Oryctolagus cuniculus: one gene and its partners. The protein of the gene in region 3 interacts with the protein of the main gene of each other region in a pairwise test. Links are inferred from orthologs where the notes say so. Each region holds a gene or a part of one and is shown on either strand. Other genes may lie near its edges. The genes, in order: BET1, VAMP4, STX4, NAPB and CYBRD1.

Region 1 (4,158 bases), on a different chromosome or scaffold from region 3:
TAAAGCTAATGTGTTATGAATTTAAAGACTGGGCTCATTTTCCCCCCACTCAACAACTAAAATCATTGTCTTGAAAAATGCAACTTTATTAATGAATAGTCTGTGCAATCTATAATAATGATCAACATCCTTAAGGAAATGGAAACATCTTCTACTTATTTTATATGTTTAAGAGCCAAAGTATATAACATTGCCCAATAAGTAATTACTGACTGGTTGGATTCAATCACTTTGTAACTTCAAGAAATTCTAGAACTTCTTCAAGTTCTAAATGAATAGCTACTTACTATATGTCCTTTGTTTGGGTCTTTTCACATACATTAATTTTAGTTTTAGATTTCTTTTATATTGCTTCATTTATTCATTAAAAAAATTTTGAGAAGCAAAGAGACAGAGAGCTCCCTTAGGCCAGTCTGTGCCCCCAAATGAACAGCAGGGCTGAGCCAGGCGGAAGTCAAGAACTGGAGACTAGATCCAGGGCTCCCCCAAGGATGCCAGGGACCCAACTACTCAAGCAGTCACCTGCTACCTTCCCAGGGTTTGCGCTGGCAGGAAGCTGGAACTGGCGGCAGAGCCGGGACAAGAAACCAAGCATTTCAACAAAGTTGCCCCAACCAGTGGCTTAACTACTTAGGTCAAATACCTGTCCCTGTTCCATCTATTTAAAATGAAATTCTCATTTTATTTCTTGTCTGGAAATCTTTCAGTGCATATTTCTATTAGAGTTTTATCTTCTCTCAGCTATCACCCTCCCCCAGGGATGGACTCATGGTGTAGCAAATTAGGCCACTGCTTGCCATGCTGGGCATCCCTTATCAGATGCCTGTTCAAGTCCTGGCTACTCTGCTCCCAAAGCAGCTCCCTACTAATGTGGCTGGAAAGGCAGTGGGGGAGGAGCCAAACTGCCATCCATGTAGGAGACCCAGATGGAGTTCCTGACTCCTGGCTTTAGTTTAGCCCAGTTTTAGCTGTTGAGGCCATCTGGGGAGTAAACTAGCAAACAAAAGATCTGTCACCCTGCCTGTCAAATAAATAAATATTTGAAAAAAAAAAAAAAAAGCAAAAAACATCATCCACCAACACAAATATTCTTCACATGAATATCTATCAAATTCATTATTATTCCAAATCTAAAATTGCAGGTCATTTCACACTGGCACTTCAAGTTTTTTTAAAAAAAACCGTCACTTCATAACAATGTAAATTATAGCAACAGTTCCTTAATCGATGTGCTATCAGGACTGAGAACAATTACTTCTCAAGTCCCCTTCCTGCAACTTAACCAGGGAGAGTGCAGTGCAAAAAATAAGTGGGCCTCAAGGGCAATTTAGGAAATCTAAACTCCTTGGCCTATAATGCAATCTCCACAATGTGGTCTCATGTTTCTTGGTTCAATCAAATTGGTTGAGTCATAATTCCTTAGCTACATAATCCTAGTTCTATGCTCTTTGTTTTTTCTTTTCTTTTTTAGTGATCCTCTCACCTGAAACTCATCTTTCCTAACTTCATTATTCATGGTCTACTTCAAGGTCACCATCTCTGCAATTTCTGAGACATTATCTGCAGAACATTATCTTGTGTTTGGATGTATAGCTGCCACCTTGTACCATAATTTACCTTTGCACATTTTCCTACTTCCCAGCTGTGGGGAGCACCAAGAAAGTAACAAAACAACTATATAGCTAGAGCTCATTCAGGTATACAACCTAAAGACACTGAGAAAACACATAGGCTGGTGAAAACTAAACTTGATCAACATTCTTTTCTGTCTTCAATTTACCTGGCTTTCTCCAACCAGATTCACAAAAACTGCACTAAGAAAGAACACTGACACACTGACAACTTTCATTGACCTTAAAGTTGACACTTTTCGTAAGCCCTGTTTTCGTTTTTGCCAAGTTATTACCACGGCTGGCAGAGACAGTCATCTTTCGCCAATGCTCACATATATTCTCAATCACGCTGCACTGATAGAGCAGGGTTCTTTCTCGTCTTTCTCCTCCTCCTCCTCGTGTTTAACCATCTCCTAGTACAGAGCTTCAGAACCATAAGAGGTAGTCCCGACAGCTGCTAACCAGTGGAAGAGGTTCAGATAAGAAATGCTCCAGGCACACTGCCTTTGACCCCGACCTTACACCCCAAGGCCTGTAAGGTAACGACGTGTACATGTACCTTTGTCACTCACTGCTAGCCGACTCACATAATCACTGTGGAAGCGCTTAGCATGCAACCCCACTCTTCGTATCTCCCTTCTAAGAGGCAGAGGCAGCAGGAAAGCAGAAACAGCAGAGAGGCCAGGCCACCACACAGCACACAGTCCGACGACTGAGCTGGCACCTGCATATACCGCACCCCAGTCCTATGCTACTCTCCAAGACTCGGGTCCGGAGACCAAACCTAAGGATACCCCCGTAAGATCTAGGACAAATGACGTGCTTCCACTAGGCACCGCCTGCATGGCTCCCCTCCACACACGCCGTTTCTGGACCAGATGCCGAGTGACAGGACACCAGGGCGATTTTCTCCCGCGCCGACCAAGGCCGGCTCTGGGGCTCCCCACTTCGCACCTCGGACCTCTTCTTACCCAGGCCTGCACGCCTCATCCCGCCAGAAGAGGGAGGAAAAAGGCAGGCGGGGGTAGAGAAGTTAGGAAAGGGCCAGAGGTCACCCGGACCGCGTCTTCAGTCCCAGGGCGCCGCGAAGCACCAACTTCTTCACCCCAAGCGCCACGACATCACTGAAGCCTGGTACACCGCGCCGACTGATGGCGTCAACCCGGGCGCCCATTGGTGCTCCGCGAGGAGAGTTGAATGGCATTCTGGGAAAAGTAGTTCGCTGTTGTCGTAAAGGGCATGGCTGGAGGAGCGATGGGGACTCGCTTCCTGGAGTGGGCGGGACTTCCGGAAGAGGGGCGACATCCGCTTTGGCTTCCTGTTCCGGACCCTGAAACTCGCTGTTCGGTACCGTGACCCCGTATGCTAGGGCCGTGGGATTAGCTGCCTACAGGTCCCTACATTTAACACAATAGCTCAGCTTCTCCCGGCCCACGAGAGGTGGTTGACTTACCTTTCCTGATTCATACTGGTACTCACTGTTACCTGCAGAGTTAGTTCAGGGAAGTCTGAGAGAACTTCGTCCAAGTTTCTCGTCTTGCAAACAAGTAGTCCGAGACCCACTGGCGGGGCAGCAGAGGCTAACTGATTTGTGCTTGGTCACACTCAGGGGGGGAGACTCGTGCTGGGCTAAGGCAGCAGGGGTCTCTCGGAGCCCCCAGCGAGCCGGCTCCCTGCTGCTCCCTCGGCTCCCTTCTAGAAGCATCGTTGGGGTTAGGGAGCACGCCTGAATCCCTTAGACACGTGGTGCTGAATACTGCCTTACATATAGCAATGTGCCGACTGGGGTTTTTCAGTGCTTGGGGTAGGGTGTGGTGAGGAGTGTGTTGGTGCTGCTGCCTGGGTCAAGTGAGAATTTCGTGTTATCTCACAGGATGAGGTACCCTGAGGAGACTCTGCAGCAATGGTTTTTGAAGACATCTGGGACGCAGGAAATGCTCGGAGTCCGCTGGTGTTTGCGTTCTGATGTTGCTGATGTGTGACAAGGTAATGGTCTCCCGGCTAGAGGTCTCTGAATCTTCATCATGTCCTGTTTCCTCGGTTTCCCATTGTGACAGTGATGTAGCTGTGACTTCAGTTTCTGCCTTAAAGTTGCTTTCTTAAAACACAAAAATAAGTTTTTATAATTGTTAGGAAAAGAGTTGCAGATTGGTGCCTCCTCACACGGGGCACCATAAATGTTAGGAAAAGAGGTGCAGAATAGAGAGGAGGCAGTGAATGAATTTACAGCCAGACTGAATTTATTCAGAGAAAATAAATTAGAAGAGGTGAATGACCAACTGCCCTCCTGCACATTGATGGAACACGTGGCAGGAGGCCCTGACCCCCCGTCCTGGGGGTCCTGGCCTGTTTATATTTTAGGAGGGCTAGAGGCGGGGGTGGGATTAGGGAGCAGCAGGTGGAGGGGAATTCCCGGAACTGGTCTTTCAAGTGTTCCAGCAACTGGTCTTTCAGGTGGCTGTGGGAGTGGGGTATGAAGGCAATAGGATGTGAGATCCAATTGAGATTCAAGGGTAAGGAATACATGCCAATGTTTATCTATCTT
Region 2 (4,085 bases), on a different chromosome or scaffold from region 3:
TCCACCAGATAATCTATGAAAGAATTGTTTGCCCCCCCCCCCCCCAATTCTAGGGTCACAAAAGTGTTCTGTGTCATGAGACAGTAAAAAAAAAAAAAAAAAAAAAAAAAAAAAAAAAAAAAAAAAGCTGTGTTTGTTTTCCTTATATCAGAACTGAGGTAAGTAGCTCCAGTCTTTGCTACAGAACCATCTCAGCCCCTTACATGTTAACATGCATAGTAACTTTCTAGGAATATGCTTGAGTATGCAATATAATTAAAATTTTCTGGCAGAAAAAGCTGTCCTATGCAAATATGAATTTTCAGCATTTTGAACTTGATGGGTGAATATACAGCAATTCAGAATAGCTAAGATGTACTGAATGTTATTTACTATGGGCTGCACCTTGCACTCAGCCATACACATGCATTTTTCTCTTTTAATCTTTGATACTCTTTTGAAGTAGGCACTAAGAAACTGAGAGAAAAAATAAGGCTTAGTAAATACAAATAACAGTGTTTGTCATTTCAGTCATTGAAATAGCAGAGACATAAACCTAAATTGCTCGACAGCTGTGCATTATCAGCTTTCTTTGCTTATTTGAGAGGGAGGGAGGAAGGGAGACAGAGAGAGAGAGAACATGTTCCCAGCTACTTGCTCACAAAATGTCCACGATGGTCCCCTACCAGCTGATGCCAGGAGCCTGAAACTCAATCCACGTCTCCCACATGTGTGGCAGGAACCCAATCATTTCAGCCATCTCTGCTGCCTCCCAGAGTGTGCATTAGCAAGAAGTTGACACCAGGAGCTGGAGCCAGGAATGGAACTCAGGCACTCAAATGTGGGATGCAAGCATCTTAACCAGTGTCTTAACCACTATGCTAAATGCCTGCCCCCATAATTAGCTCCAATATTTACTCAATTAGGTTACACATTTCTGTCCTGGAAAACACATTTTCCCATGATAATCCAGGAGCCCTGTTCCCTCTTCATAAGAATTTAAGATCTTTAAATTAGGTATTGTTAGGCATTAGTTTGTTAGCTAATGTTGGGCACTGAAGAAAGAAAAAGGACCAGGGTATAGGTTCAAAGACCTAATAAAGGTAATAAATATTTTGAGCCAGCTTCCTATAAAAAAAATACTGAAAAGAAATGTTTCCAAGTTAGAAACTCAACCACTTGTCACATAAACCAGTGTTGCCACCTAAGTAACAGTTCCAGAGTTCTTCAATTCACAGTTTTTGTCACATACGTCCTGTCCATTTATTCCCCATATTTCAATTTCCAAATAATTCATCCATGCAGGAATGTTGCAGAATGCATGGAAAAACAGATGACAAAGCAAATAACTGAGAAACTTGAGCTTTTCTCATGTGTTTGTTTATATTTTAAACCCTACAAAGAGGCTGCCTCAGCAGCCCCAAAGCAAGACTTGTAAAATGCCTTTATGAGACCTAAAGATAAGATCTTAATGATGAGCAAACCCCCTTCGAGGTCCCATTCTCCAAGAATCAACCTCACAAAGTCAAGAAATCATGTCTGACAAACAGAAAAGCCAGAAGGAAGATTAATTAGCTATGCTTGAGGAGTCACAAGGCAACAGATATTTGTATCAAACTAGTAGAAATAAACCACGCTCAGCTATTGGATTCGTACATATTCTGCCTAAGATTTCTCCTACAAAAATACCTGTGAATTTAGGTGTTTGTATGTAAATGAGGCAGCCACCATTATGTATTGCCACACTGAGGACAGGCACCACTCCACAATTCACTTTAAAAATGTCACAACACTTTATACTTCTTACATCATCATCACAGGTAAAAAACCTCATGTACGCATTTTTGTAGTGTGTTCTCTATTCCGTGGCTTTATATGTAATAACCTTCTAATCTGCTGCTTAATAAATGCTGACTTTTTGCTTTCCAAAGAAAACCAAACACACACACACACCATTTATGTTTTTCAGTTCACAAAAGCTGGAATTTGAGCAGCCTTCCTTTTCCCAGCCTCCAATCCCTTTCTGACTTCTCTTTCCCATCTCTCAGCAGCTTTGGTTGCCCTCTCTCAGAAATAGAGACTTGGCTGGACACACTGGAGATGTTATTCATACAACCTGTCAAGTGTACTGCCCGACCCCCGCCTTCCGGGGTTAGAAACGTACACGGGCTGGTGTTTTCGCCCCAGCCCTTCCTTAAAGCACCATTTCCATAGCCTCCAACAGGCAGCTCCCCTTACTCCAGCGATCGCACCAGGCCACGGACCCCCACGTCTGCTAACTCGGGCCCATCCTGCCCCTGACACCCACTCACCCCAGCTACCTCCCGCTCTGAACAAATCTTCCTCATCCACGCACCCTTCTCTTCCCATCTCCCCAGCGCACCCCTCACCTCCAGTCTCCACAACCGCCCCCCATCCGCACACCCCGTCACCGACCCCGGCCCCAACCCCTTCCCTCTCAGGGCTCCTCGGCCCCCGGCCCCTAGACCCCTGCCCGCCTAGCCCGACCCGGACGTTGGGGGGCCGTGGGGCAGGGGCGTCGTCTTCCTTTCCTGCCTCCTCACACCAGCCCCTCCCGCCGGGAAGAGGCCGGCGCCAGTACCTGAGGCTCCCGGGGAGCTCCCGGCAGCTCTCCCGAGCGGGCGGCGCTGGGCGGGCGGGGGAAGGAGCGGGAAGCCGAGGGAAAAGGCTGGGAGGGGGAGACAGTGGGCGCGGACCCGGCGTCGGCCGCTGCGCCGCAGCTGCGCCCCCGCTCATCGAGCCGATCGGCGCTCCGCGGCCTGGCTGCAGGCGGAGGGGGCAGCCCAGGGCGCGGCGATCGCCGAGGGAGTCGATTCCGCCCGCTGCGTCTAACCCCGAAGAACCTCTGGCCTTCCAGCCGTCTGAGATCTGGATACCCAAGCTATGCTGTGTTTTGAGGAGGAACAGTGGTTCTCGAGGTGCTGGCGCGCATCAGGCGTGCGTGGTGGGCGCGAGGGGAGCGGTGTCGGAGCCGCTGAGAAGTAGCTTAGGGTGGGGCTCGGAGCTTCGTGACTGGGGTCGGTAAGACCTTTAGGTGGTGCTTGTGCGAGATCCGTCCCCAGGCTGAGGAAGTCGAATGGGAAGAGGAAGGTGGCTTAGAGGACCAAGGGACACGCAGGGAGAGGAGGAAGTAGACACGCTCTTACATGCTGCTGCTGTTTCTGTGTGGTTGACTTAATGCACTAATTGAAAAGGCGCCGCTAAGGCTTGCCCCTGGAGTTGCCGTATCCGGAAGGCTTGTGAAACTACTGGTGCCCGGGCACTACTCAGATTCTGATTTAGTTTGCTATGTTCACAGACTGCGAGCAGTGGGGTTGGGCTCCCTCAAGAGCTGGAGTTCGCTACTGATGAGGACAAAAGTGGTCCATCTGGAATGGAAGCCTCTTGTAGTTTCTGTCCCAGCCTCCACGGATAACCCAGAAATTAGTTCTTCTCTGAAGTGATTTTGTGTCTGTACTATTTGTGAGTAATCTATTCTTTTTCTTAGTTTTTTTTTTTTTTTTTTTTTAGATTTTTAAAAAATGCTTTGACTTGTAAGTAAGAATGTCAGAGACAGAGGAAGAGACACAGAGAAAGAGAGCTTCCTTGTACAGGTTCACTCCCCAAATGGCTCTAACAGCCAGGTCTGGTCTAGCCCGAAGTCAGGGGCTGGGTTCTCTTTCCTGGTCTCTCACGTGGGTGGCAGGGCCCAAGTACTTGGGCCATTTTCTGCTGCTTTCCTATGTAAGTTAGCTGGGAGTCAGCTAGGAAGCTCCAACCAGTGCTCTGATACAGGTGGTCAGCATCCTAAGTGGTGGCTCAAGCTACTGCGCCACTGCGTTGGCCTCTTAGTCTTTTAACCAAAAGGATCTGCCAGTCTTTTTGGTATGATTGCTTACGGGAGGGAAAATACAAACTTCACCTTTAATCACTTGAACAAAGTCCCTTTGATTTCCCTAACATGTGTGAAAACTTAGAAAATGTCGTTTTACAGTTACCATGAATCCAATATGCCAGTAAACCTGAAAGATGATAAATAACACTGAATTTAGAGTCAGGACTCCAGCCAACCTGAATTATATTATTTCCTCCCCTGTTTTCTTTCT
Region 3 (3,337 bases):
GTCGACGCAGCCGCGCTGGCTGGCATTTGGCTGGTCTGCCTTCAGTGATGACTGTGCGCCAGCCCTGAGCTGTTCAGATAGAGCAGTGAACCTGGGAATAAGCAAAGGGCGTGAGGACGGAGGAAGCGTTAAGGAGAAAAGAGCCAGGCGCGGGAGAGGGATGGAGAGGGTTGCGGGAGGCAAGGTAGCACCTTAAGGGTGGGAGCGGTGAGTGTTGTACAGGAGGGAGGGCTCAGCAGAAGAGGGGGAAGTCCGAAAGGGGACAGGGACAGGGACAGATCACCTAAGGCCACCTGGGCTCTCGTAGTGGTCTTGCCTTTTCCTCGGACAAATGGGGACGCCTTCAAGGTCATCCCAAGGTGGCCGATGCCGCAGGCAGCTTGGAGAAGCTCCTGTCGTGTGCGCAGTGGGATGCCCAGGCCCAGGTGGGGCGGGGGTCCTTCCCGGGGTGCCCAGCCTGTGCTCTCTCCACCCTCAGCATGGGGTGCTGTCGCAGCAATTCGTGGAACTCATCAACAAGTGCAACTCGATGCAGTCCGAATACCGGGAGAAGAACGTGGAGCGGATTCGGAGGCAACTCAAGATCAGTGAGTTGCAGACGCCCAGTCCACAGGGTCAGGTCACCCCCTGCCCCAGCTCTGAGCCTGGCCTCTCCCTTCACAGCCAATGCTGGGGCGGTGTCCGACGAGGAACTGGAGCAGATGCTGGACAGCGGGCAGAGCGAAGTGTTTGTGTCCAATGTGAGTGGCCATCACCCTCGTCCCTGATGAAGGGGCTGCCCCAGAGAAACCCCCTCTGGCCTGCCGCTGGTGTCCCACCCCGCGCTGCCGTGACCTGTCCGCTCATACCCACTCTCCCTCAGATCCTAAAGGACACCCAGGTGACCCGGCAGGCCCTCAATGAGATCTCCGCCCGGCACAGTGAGATCCAGCAGCTCGAACGCAGCATCCGTGAGCTCCATGACATCTTCACTTTCCTGGCTACCGAGGTGGAAATGCAGGTGAGCCCACGCAGCTTCCCCGGGATGGGAGACGCTGCTCAGGCGGAAGCCCTGGCCGGCCGTGACCGCCAGCCCCCCTCCGCCTCTCAGCCGCTGTCCCCAAGGCTTTGTACCCAGCCCTGGCTTTGCTGCGCTACTGCAGCTCCTAGGGGAGCCGGCGTCTGTGGTGCTGTAGCCAGTGCCACTTCTGCCGCTGGGAGGCAGGGGAGGGCATCTCATTCAGGAGGAGCAGCAGGACCTGCAGGCTGGTGGTGCCAGGAGGAGCTGGGGGAGGGGCGGCTGCACAGCAGCCGGGAGACAGGCCTGGAAGAATGGCTGAATTCAGGGGCCAGAGTTCACCATCTGAAGAAAAAGGTATGAACCCGTGGAGCACACGGCCACAAGCCGCCCCTGCACATACGGGGGGTGCTTGCAAGAAGGCATGGAAAATGGAATTGAGAAAGTTTCTCTGGGGTGCAAAAAAAAAATCTTGAAATCATGTATAGGAGGGATCTTCAAAAAGTGACTGGCCAATGCACGTTAGGAGAAATCTGTGCTTGGATTCCAAATTTGGGGCACCAAAATAAACTCTTATTTTCTTTAAAAAAAAAAAAGAGAGATTTATTTATTTATTTGCGAGGCAAAGACAGAGAGAGGGAGAGAGAGAGAGAGAGGTCTTCCATATGCTGGTTCACTCCCCAAATGGCCGCAACGGCTGGAGCAGAGCTGATCCGGAGCCAGGAGCCAGGAGCTTCTTCCAGGTCTCCCACGCAGGTGCAGGGGCCCAAGCACTTGAGCCTCTTCTGCTTTCCCAGGCCACAGCAGAGAGCTGGATTGGAAGCGGAGCAGCCGGGACTTGGAACCGGTGCCCATATGGCATGCCAGAGCTTCAGGCCAGGGCGTTGACCCGCTGCGCCACAGCACTGGATCCCCGAAAACAAGCTCTTAATTTGCCTTCTGCAGGCGTTTGGATGTCACCTTATGGGGGCAAGGGAAGCGGGGAGATAGGACCACGTGATAGAAGGGATCCCGGAACCATCCCAAGATTCTGAGCCTGGGTCACTTCTGGAGCTGCCTCTGTTGGGGGCAGTTTTTGTTTTGTTTCCGTGGGCCTGGGAGATGCGTCAGTCATTGCCGGGTGGCATGGGCAAAGGCGCAGCTGGCCTCCCCGTCCCCAGCCCCGCTGTGCCCAGGCATCGCTCCCTCTCTGAGCCACCTCATCCCGCGAGCAGGGGGAGATGATCAACCGGATCGAGAAGAACATCCTGAGCTCCGCGGACTACGTGGAACGCGGGCAGGAGCACGTCAAGATCGCCCTGGAGAACCAGAAGAAAGCGAGGAAGGTGAGCCCCCCGCCCCGCCCCGGGCGCAGGCGCCCCACTCGGTCGTCCCTGACCCTCTTGTCTCCCACAGAAGAAAGTCCTCATTGCCATCTGTGTGTCCGTCACGGTCCTCATCCTGGCCGTCATCATCGGCGTGACCATAGCGGTGGGCTAGAGTTGTACATTTTCGGTGAGACCTCCTGGCCCCTCCCCCGCCCCGCCCCCTCCCCAGCCTTCCCTCCTCCCCTCAGACCCTCCTCCCCCTCCTTCCCTTGCAGGCACCGGAAGCTCCAGGGACCCAGGTCCTGGCCTTGTCTCCCTGCAGCACAGAGCCCCCAGTGAGGACCCCCACTCCACCCGGCGCCCTCGGGCCCCTGTACAGCGGTGGCAGGCGGTTCTTCTTGGGTCAGCAGCTGCTCGTCCGTGGGGCCCCCCCTCCCCTTCGAGCTACAGTGCCTGGGCGAGGGAGGGTCTGCCTTGTCCTGTTTGACTGGGACACATGGTTTTGTAAAAAATTAAAAAGAGAGAAAAACGAGCGAGCGAGCTTGGATTGGAGACCCTTGTTGCTGGCGAGCTGGCCCAGCCTCTCCCCACCTGCTGGCCACCCCTGGGGCCAGGCCAGGCCCAGACAGGCCCAGGTCAGGCTGCCCTAGGTGCCGTGCCCACAGCGAGGTACTCCTGCTTTTTCCCTGGGGAAGGACCGCTGAGCACCTAGCCCTGAAGCCATGAGGAGGAGCCAGGTATTTCAAGAAGGAAGGGAAGGGGCTGGCAGGCAGAGGCCCCAGCCCCAGGTCTCGTGATCAGAAGAAATCACTGCTGTTTATGGAAGAGTTCAGCTAACAGAGCCGGTGAGCCCGGGTTAGCGCACCTGGAGGCGCAGGTAGAGGCAGAGGCACCTGAGCCCTGGTTTCCTTGTTGTTGTTGTGTTTTTTTTTTTTTTTTTTAAGATTTATTTATTTATTTGAAAGGCAGAGTTACACAGAGAGAGGAGAGGCAGAGAGAGTTTTCCATCCGCTGGTTCACTCTAATTGGCTGC
Region 4 (3,513 bases), on a different chromosome or scaffold from region 3:
AGAGAGACAACATGCACCAGGAACATCTATCTGAAGGAACACCTGTGCAGCCCCCGAGAGAGCCGGCCGGCGGTGTGCCGCTCCCCCGCGGAAGTGGGGAAGGTGGCAGGGGGAACCGCCCTTCCACGGAGGTGGAAGGGACGGTAGCCAACCCGGGAAGAACCAGCAGCAAACCTGGGAAAGGCCGAACAGACAAAAGAACAGTGCAGGGTCCTGTGTCGTTCCTCCACGAAGAGGGGGAGCGACACCTCTGTCTTTGTCTCCTTCTCTCTATCTATAATTCTGCCTCTCAAATAAATAAATTAATCTTTAAGAAAAAAAAAGAGCAATCTTCTCTTTCCTTTTTCTCTGATACCTTTATCACCATTAAGCAAAACAAATAAATAATAGTGTTTTATTTTTGAAAGATTTATTTATTTATTTGAAAGGCAGAGCTACAGAGAGGCAGAGGCAGAGCCCATCAGAGCTGGCCTCAGCCTATCAGCTGTTCAGCCAGCTGGTGTGTTCCTAAACTGCCACTTGGTGGTTGGCTGCTGCCCCAGGTACCCCTGTTGCCTGCCCATTACCCTGGCAGAGTCTCTGCCACTCCTTGGGACCACCTGCCTCTTTACAGGCCAGCCATGGTCTCCAGCTCCAGCCCCATAGCCAGTGTCCACTCTGACTAGCCAGTGCCAACCTTAGTCTCTTGTTAATTGCCATAACAAAATACCTTAGGCTGAGTATTGAGTAAACGGTGAAAACTTGCTGCTCACAGTCTGGGGTCTGGGCGGTCCAAGATCCAGGCGCCAGCAGATGCCGTGTCTGGAAGGGCTGCAGTGCAGGAGCAGGGCCGCGCAGCAGCCGCTTGCGTAAGGGCACGGTCCTCCTCCCAGAGGGCCCCTCCTGATGCCCTCGTCCAGATTGCAGCAGTGCCCATGTCACGCTGCACTCACGTGTTTCCACAGCTGCCTGGGCACTCTTCATTGGAGCAGGAACTGAGTGCAGGTCAGGTAGCCACAGAGTGTGCTCACCCTTGCGTGAAGGTTGAGAAGCCTACGGGGGAGTCAGTGGCTGCCTCTGGGGAGGGCTTGGGACAGGGGTCACAGGTGGAGCTTTGGTGGGATTGGGTGCAGAGTCTGTCCTTTCCCGTTGGGGGTTGCCTGTTCCAGACCTTCCTGAGCTGGAGGCACTTCAGGCGTCCCTACCGCAGGGGACTTGCTGCCGGAGGTGGGGAGGCCCTCCCTGAAAGGCCGGGTGCAGCTTCAGCTGTTGTCCCACTGGCCTCCTGCAGGCAGGACAGGCCTGTCACCATGTTCCCATGATGCCTCTCTCAGGGGTCCCTTCCCTCCCTCTTCGGCCACAGAATCTGTGCCCCTGAGGCAGAGTTTGCTCTGAACAGACTCTGTACATTTGTCACAGGCTGTGTCCCAGCAGGGATCTGGGTATTATTTATAGCCACACCTGTCAGGGTGCTCCAGGAAGAGCACAACTTCTAACCCTGCCTGGTACAGAGCAGGCCATACCTGTGCATAAGTTTCTATCAGGTTTTGCTATACACTAGAGGAAAAACTGAATTTTTAGGCTTTTTTATTTTAAGATTCAAAATTGTAGGCCTCATTTTCAGTCTTTAAGAAACTCTCTCCTTAGAGCCTGTCTTAGCAACTTCAGCAATGACAGCTAAGCACAGTGGACGTGGCAAGATAGAAAAGGAGCCGCCAGCACCCTCGCTCTGGGTGTGTTGCCTTTGCTTAGTCACTTTGCAGCTGGAAGGCCCGAGGGTGTGTCCTTTACGTGTTTGCCGAGTAGAATTGAACAGCCCAGAGCCTGGCTGTTCGGGAGGCTGCGTGCCCAGGGCTGGGACGGGAAGGTCAGGCTGCTGTTGTGTGCACCTGGGTGCACTTGACCAAGGTTCTCAGGTGGGAATGCTGCTTTTTAGTGAGGTCCAGCACCTCAGGTGGGGGCCGCTCTGCAGGAATTCATTAATTACGTATGAATCATTGTGGTCGTTGCTTCTTCTGATTGATTGATTGATTGATTGATTGATTGTGGTCTTCTCTTGTTCAGCTGCAGGAAACGCGTTCTGTCAGGCGGCCAAGCTGCACATGCAGCTGCAGAGCAAGCATGACTCTGCCACCAGCTTTGTGGACGCCGGAAACGCTTACAAAAAGGCAGACCCTCAAGGTGAGGCCGCCGGGCACGGGCACACAGCCGACCGTCGGGGGCGCTGACTGGGCCACCGTGCCTCCCGCCTCCAGGCCCGCGTGGGGTCCCTTCCAGTCCTAGTAGAGGAATTTTTGTGTGTTGAAATGATAGTGACTCTTGGGTAAGGATAGCGATTTTTCCTGGTGGAGACTTCGGAGGCTTCTGTGAACAGAAAACGGTTGAAATGTGTCCTGGTGCATCTCGTATCCTGGTGGTTTAGTTGTCAGCACCGTTTTTCCTCTAAGCCACTTGATGTTGCATTTTGGAAATTTATCTAAGCCTTCTTCCATCTTGACTTTATGAACTATGTTACTGATCACAAAAGGCAACTAAGGGCCCCCTTCCATGTGCCTGGTGGATTTTAGGAGCCAGTCAGTGTGAGATTGTGATATCTGTGGTTCAAAACACCTTTTGTTCACACTGTAGTCATTTTTTTAAATGTTTTTTCCACATATTGGTTTTGAGGAAATAATGGAATTGGATATTTAGCATTTTGCAAGTTTCTTTCTTTTTTAGTTGGAAGTGTGCATTAGCAATTAACAGCATTGATTTCTTCCCTCTGGCACACTGCATGGATAGCACTGCGTCTGTTTTTTTCTTTTAGTGGTACTTTCTGTTTGACACAGAAACCCCAACTTTTATGACTATGTCATATAGAAATAAGATATCTTCGAGGGCTTTTTTTATACACAGATAAGTCACAGTTTATTTCTCTAATGACAAACTGGACACAGACCGTGTGAGCAGTGGGAGTAGCCAGAGGGACTCACAGTGTGTCCACCTGTTAGCATACAATACAGGCGTCACAATGCCTGGTGGAAGAGACTCTTCCCGGGACCCAGTCAGCATTCGCGTGGTCATGATACACCGCGCGATACCAAGGGTTGTGTGACCTTGATTGCAGAAAACACACCACACACTTTGGGAGGAAAGGTGCGTCCGCTGCGATGGCGGGCTTCTGTGCAAGCGGGGACAGGCTGCCGTTCTGGTCGTTGTCTATTTGTAAAGTGCAGCGGCGAGTCCACTCTTTAAAATACAGTTTGGGAGGAGATTGCTTTTCATCTTTGCTGATCTGTTTATCTTCATGATTCTTCGGTCAGGCCTTTTCACATCGCTGCCTCTTTCAAACCAAAAGCAGTTGCCCTGGAGCCGTCAGCCATGTGCAGCATTATACATACCAGCGTTTTGGGTCAGGGCTGTGTGCTGGCTCCCCACTTTGGGAAGTAGCGTTGGCACTCGCTGGGGTTCTCCCCTTCCTCTGTAGATGTGTTGGGACAGGACAGGCAGCACCCCGGACGTGGGACGCTGGCTCTGCTGCACTTGTTCCAGTGC
Region 5 (3,975 bases), on a different chromosome or scaffold from region 3:
AGTTTAACATTGTATTTTAGTGTTAGATTTCCTATAGTGTGCTACACTGTATTTTACAATACATCCATTTTCCAAAATGCACTTGGAGCATGGCTGTACGTGGAGAGGGAGGGAGGGAGGGAAGGTCGGGAGGAAGGCAGAGGGAGAGAGAGAGAGAGAGAGAGAGAGAGAAGACGAGAGGGAGAGAGACAGGGAGACAGAGAGAGACAGAGACAGAGTCAGAGAGACAGGGAGATTATATAACTTCTATGGTAGCCTTGCTTTCTTCAGCACGTTTCAGAAGAACCATACTTATCCTCACAGTTTCAAATACAGTTCACTGTTGATACATTGCATTTATAAACCATTCTTTGCTTAGAGTGATAACTAAACTTTAGCTTTCCTTTCCTCGCCTCCAAATATTTGTGCACTACTGGAGAGAAGAACTCCACATCACGTGAGTTCAGTATGGGACCTGTGAAATCTCACCGCCTAACATGATCCTCCCTGAAGTAGCTGCACACAGTAGAAATGCTGTTCTGTCGTGGCTGATCTGTAACGTGTGTCTCCCTCACAGCCCATCACCTCCACCTAGCACCTACTCAGCAACGGTTCCACTTACAATTTTTCATCCTTACAATGGAGTGCATTCAATGGAAACCATACTTGGAATTTTGAATTTATGGTGCGTTTATTAGGACGGGACCCCACAGTAAATTGGGAAACATCTGTATTTACTGCTCCTTTTCAGATTCCCATGTAGTTTGGCTCTTGGGACAATGTCATCTTTTCAGTATGTAGGAAAGCACCACTGAAGCCTTCCTACGGCTTGAGTGAGGCGTGTGTGTGGCCCAGATACGGGAGGCCTACGCCTATGTCTACACATACCAACATCTCATGTCACTCTCAACTAAATGTATGATGACGTGAGTGACCAGAGTGCTCCACAAATCCTCAACCTGAACAGTAAACAGGGGGGCCGCTGGAACATTAGCACAAAAGGTAAAGAAAACAGGCTTGCTTAAGAGGAGCAGATAAAAATCCCCAAATATCCATTTACACAATTTGCCCCAAAGGCTAAGCACATTAAGACAAGCCCAAAATTGAGAAAGGAGAAGACCTTCAAGGAGAACTGTGCAATAGCCTCTCACGTGAAAGAAGAGGCTTCAAAGCACATTTTAGGTGAAGCTTTTTGCTTCCCTAACAAGATTTTACAGGAAACAAGCCTATTGCCAAAAAAAGCAGAGAAATGAACCTTGAAAGTTAAGGCCACTGAGAACCGGCTACTTCCACAGATAGGTTACTGATAGGTTACTCTGCCCCGGCGCCCCACAGACACCTGCAGAGAATGCACTTAGTAGTGACCCAGAAAGCACTCAGGGAGCACCACGTGTTTTGTGACTTAAGTCCTCTTTGCTGAGTCAGGCAACCGTGGTATCACCTGTGCTTCCCTTACTCCACGAGAGTACACTTCAAAACCTCTGAAAAGTGCGTGGGTATTAGGAGCTGCTCGGAGAAGTTAAAGGAGAGAGACGGCTCCTTCTTCTGTGAGACAACAGGCGTGGCCAGCTCTGGACCAACCCCAGGGCTGCGCACGGCCCAAAAGTGCTTCTGATGCCAGTGACTATGGAACTTGAGCGTGTTTTTCTCATTCTTGTGCTGGGGCAAAACAGTCGGGAATTGTGCAGTGGGATCACTTGGAGGCCTGATGCCAAGCTCGCACCAGGACAGCCTGGGCTGGCCTGAGGCCCGGCAGCGTCCCCCAGCGCCTCCCGGAGTGGGAGCACACAGGCCACACTCGCCTACGGCTGGGGCCAAGTGTGCAACGGGAAAAACAAAAACCACCGCTTTCCTTTAGGAAGGAGGACAGCGCTTCTGTTGCTGTTCGTGGAGCGTTAAATACTGGTGCGGACAAGGCAGGGTGGGCGGCGCTTCCAAACGCTTGACGATTTTCCACGCACGACCCCGTTTCCTCTATACTCTCTCAAGATCACAGCCTGGACTTCGCTCTCTGGAAAGTGGCCGCACACAAATGCTGCCTGCGCCACCAGCTAGAGGCCAAACAGGAAAAGAAAACCCTCGGGACCCCGGGCACGACACAACCGCGATCCACACCGACGCCCCTGGCCAGCGCCAACCGCATTCCCGGGAAGGCAGGCCAGCCCGGGACGGCCGCGCAGCCGCGGGCCTGCTCCGGGCGGCTCCCACCCCGCATTCGGGACAAGCGCCCAACAGAAAGCCCCACGGAAGAGCTTTCGCCAGGCGGCCGCCACATCAACAAGCTCGGTTCCAGACTGTCCCATGGCCGGGCAGGGCAGCGGCCCCCGGCTCGACGGAGCGCGCCGTTCGGCTGACCAGACCCTTCCCCGCGGCTGCGGAGGTCGCCCTCGAAGCAAATTCTAGCTCCTCCATTTTCGCCCGCTGCCGCAGCCTCGAAATTTGCAGCCCGCAAGCAAGTTCAGTGCCAGGCCGCGCCTTACAGGTGCCCTCGGGGCGCTCCCCGCCGCTCCCTTCGTGCGGTCGCGGACGTCTCCACGCTTTCCTACCGCTGGCCGCGCACACCCAGACCTAAGAGCACCCCACACACCCCCGGCCCCGCCGTCCCCCCCCCACCCCGCCAGGAGGTGCTCAGTACCGATGCCCTGGATGAAGATGAAGCCAGTGACCAAGAGCACCGGGTGCCAGTTAAACTCGAGCGCGCCTCCGTCCCAGCCGAGCCCCTCGCGGTAGTGTAGGACCCAGATGAGGGTGAAGATCACCGACAGGAAGCCGACAAGCAGCGCCGACACCAGCAGCACCAGGAAGCCCCTGTAGCCCTCCATGGCCATCACAGCCCCATGCTCCGCGCCGCCGCTGCCTTTTGGTCCCGGCGGCAGGCCCCGGGCGGCGACTCTCGCTTGCTGTCTCCGCCCCCGGGGAGGGGCTTTCTCGGCCGGGGCCCCTGCGCGGGCCTCCCGGGGGTGCGCGCCCCTAGCCCGTGTCCACCCGCGCGCCCCACCCCCGGGATGGCGCTGCACCGCCCCTCGCCCGCGTGCCGCCTGGCCCAGGGCTCGCGTCGCCCCAAATTGGTAGTGTCGGGAGGGCGCCGAGGACCTTACGCCCTCTTACTGGATCCCTGCCCAAAGCCCCGCGGGGGCAGGGGCTCAGGCACGCTCTTTTGGACGTCAGATACGGGGATCCCCCGGGTGGGGTCGTGCGTGTGTAGTGTTCTGGTGCCAGGGTTCCTGCGGGAGGAGGCTGCGGGGCGGTCTGGGCTTGGCCAGGCTCGCAGTTTGCTGGGGAGAGAGGGCAGACTGGCACCTCCTGGCCCCTGGCCTCCCATGGAGAGTGCCACAGAAATAGCCACAGAAGCGCCCACACACCCCGACCAGTCGGACTCCCAGCCTCGCCTTGATGAAGTGAACCTGGGTCTCTGCCTTCTTCCTAGCGTGCCCGTCACCCTGTGCTCTGGACCAGGAGCCTGTCCTCCTTAGCGGGGCTTCCAGAATGCATTCGGAGACCTTAGAATGTGCCCACGTATGTCTGGGTGATTTTCCATAGAGATTTTAGACCAAAGCAGTACAGGCGTCCAGCCGGGGTAGTGGGGCAGGATGGAGGGATAGGAGACTGCAGACTTCACCTGTGCCATTATCCTCCCTACCCCCCAAAGCAGGAGAGTAAGCAAATGGAAGGCAAAGATCCCTTCCCCCAGCCCAGCCCTCTACTCAGTCCTTTCTCAGGACCTGACCTGACGCTCTGGATGTCCTTGCCTGTACACCGCTCCCTACCCACTTCCCTTCCTCTATATTTGCTGACCTCTCTTCAGACAGGAAGCTAGGACGTTTGCCATGTTCCTATTTTACACCCTACCTTCGCACCCAAGACCTCTCTGCATCACCTACCAGAATGTAACATAATGATCTGCTTGTCTGGCCCTCTCCACTCTCCAGACTGCCCCCCTACAGGCGTTAACTGTCCACTTTATCACTTTATTCCACCTTGGCATATCACAGTTAC

The links.
Region 1: the proteins of STX4 (region 3) and BET1 interact in binary tests that used the Homo sapiens proteins (3 or more experiments, as listed by UniProt). The two-hybrid records come from large-scale screens. The link is inferred for Oryctolagus cuniculus from reciprocal best matches to the Homo sapiens genes STX4 and BET1.
Region 2: the proteins of STX4 (region 3) and VAMP4 interact in binary tests that used the Homo sapiens proteins (3 or more experiments, as listed by UniProt). The two-hybrid records come from large-scale screens. The link is inferred for Oryctolagus cuniculus from reciprocal best matches to the Homo sapiens genes STX4 and VAMP4.
Region 4: the proteins of STX4 (region 3) and NAPB interact in binary tests that used the Homo sapiens proteins (3 or more experiments, as listed by UniProt). The two-hybrid records come from large-scale screens. The link is inferred for Oryctolagus cuniculus from reciprocal best matches to the Homo sapiens genes STX4 and NAPB.
Region 5: the proteins of STX4 (region 3) and CYBRD1 interact in binary tests that used the Homo sapiens proteins (3 or more experiments, as listed by UniProt). The two-hybrid records come from large-scale screens. The link is inferred for Oryctolagus cuniculus from reciprocal best matches to the Homo sapiens genes STX4 and CYBRD1.

What each region holds. Positions count from the first base shown.
Region 1 is NC_091447.1:41,915,541-41,919,698, reverse strand, and holds the start of BET1 (BET1 homolog), read right to left. Parts: upstream 2,813-4,158; 5' UTR 2,604-2,812; coding exon 2,585-2,603; intron 1-2,584. UniProt on the Homo sapiens protein: Required for vesicular transport from the ER to the Golgi complex. Functions as a SNARE involved in the docking process of ER-derived vesicles with the cis-Golgi membrane.
Region 2 is NC_091438.1:26,791,308-26,795,392, reverse strand, and holds the start of VAMP4 (vesicle-associated membrane protein 4), read right to left. Parts: upstream 2,803-4,085; 5' UTR 2,582-2,802; intron 1-2,581. UniProt on the Homo sapiens protein: Involved in the pathway that functions to remove an inhibitor (probably synaptotagmin-4) of calcium-triggered exocytosis during the maturation of secretory granules.
Region 3 is NC_091450.1:6,128,865-6,132,201, reverse strand, and holds the end of STX4 (syntaxin-4), read left to right. Parts: intron 1-478; coding exon 479-587; intron 588-663; coding exon 664-740; intron 741-862; coding exon 863-1,000; intron 1,001-2,211; coding exon 2,212-2,322; intron 2,323-2,392; coding exon 2,393-2,476; 3' UTR 2,477-2,491; intron 2,492-2,579; 3' UTR 2,580-2,836; downstream 2,837-3,337. UniProt on the Homo sapiens protein: Plasma membrane t-SNARE that mediates docking of transport vesicles. Necessary for the translocation of SLC2A4 from intracellular vesicles to the plasma membrane.
Region 4 is NC_091442.1:47,609,046-47,612,558, reverse strand, and holds part of NAPB (beta-soluble NSF attachment protein), read left to right. Parts: intron 1-2,043; coding exon 2,044-2,160; intron 2,161-3,513. UniProt on the Homo sapiens protein: Required for vesicular transport between the endoplasmic reticulum and the Golgi apparatus.
Region 5 is NC_091434.1:69,597,827-69,601,801, forward strand, and holds the start of CYBRD1 (plasma membrane ascorbate-dependent reductase CYBRD1), read right to left. Parts: upstream 2,808-3,975; coding exon 2,615-2,807; intron 1-2,614. UniProt on the Homo sapiens protein: Plasma membrane reductase that uses cytoplasmic ascorbate as an electron donor to reduce extracellular Fe(3+) into Fe(2+).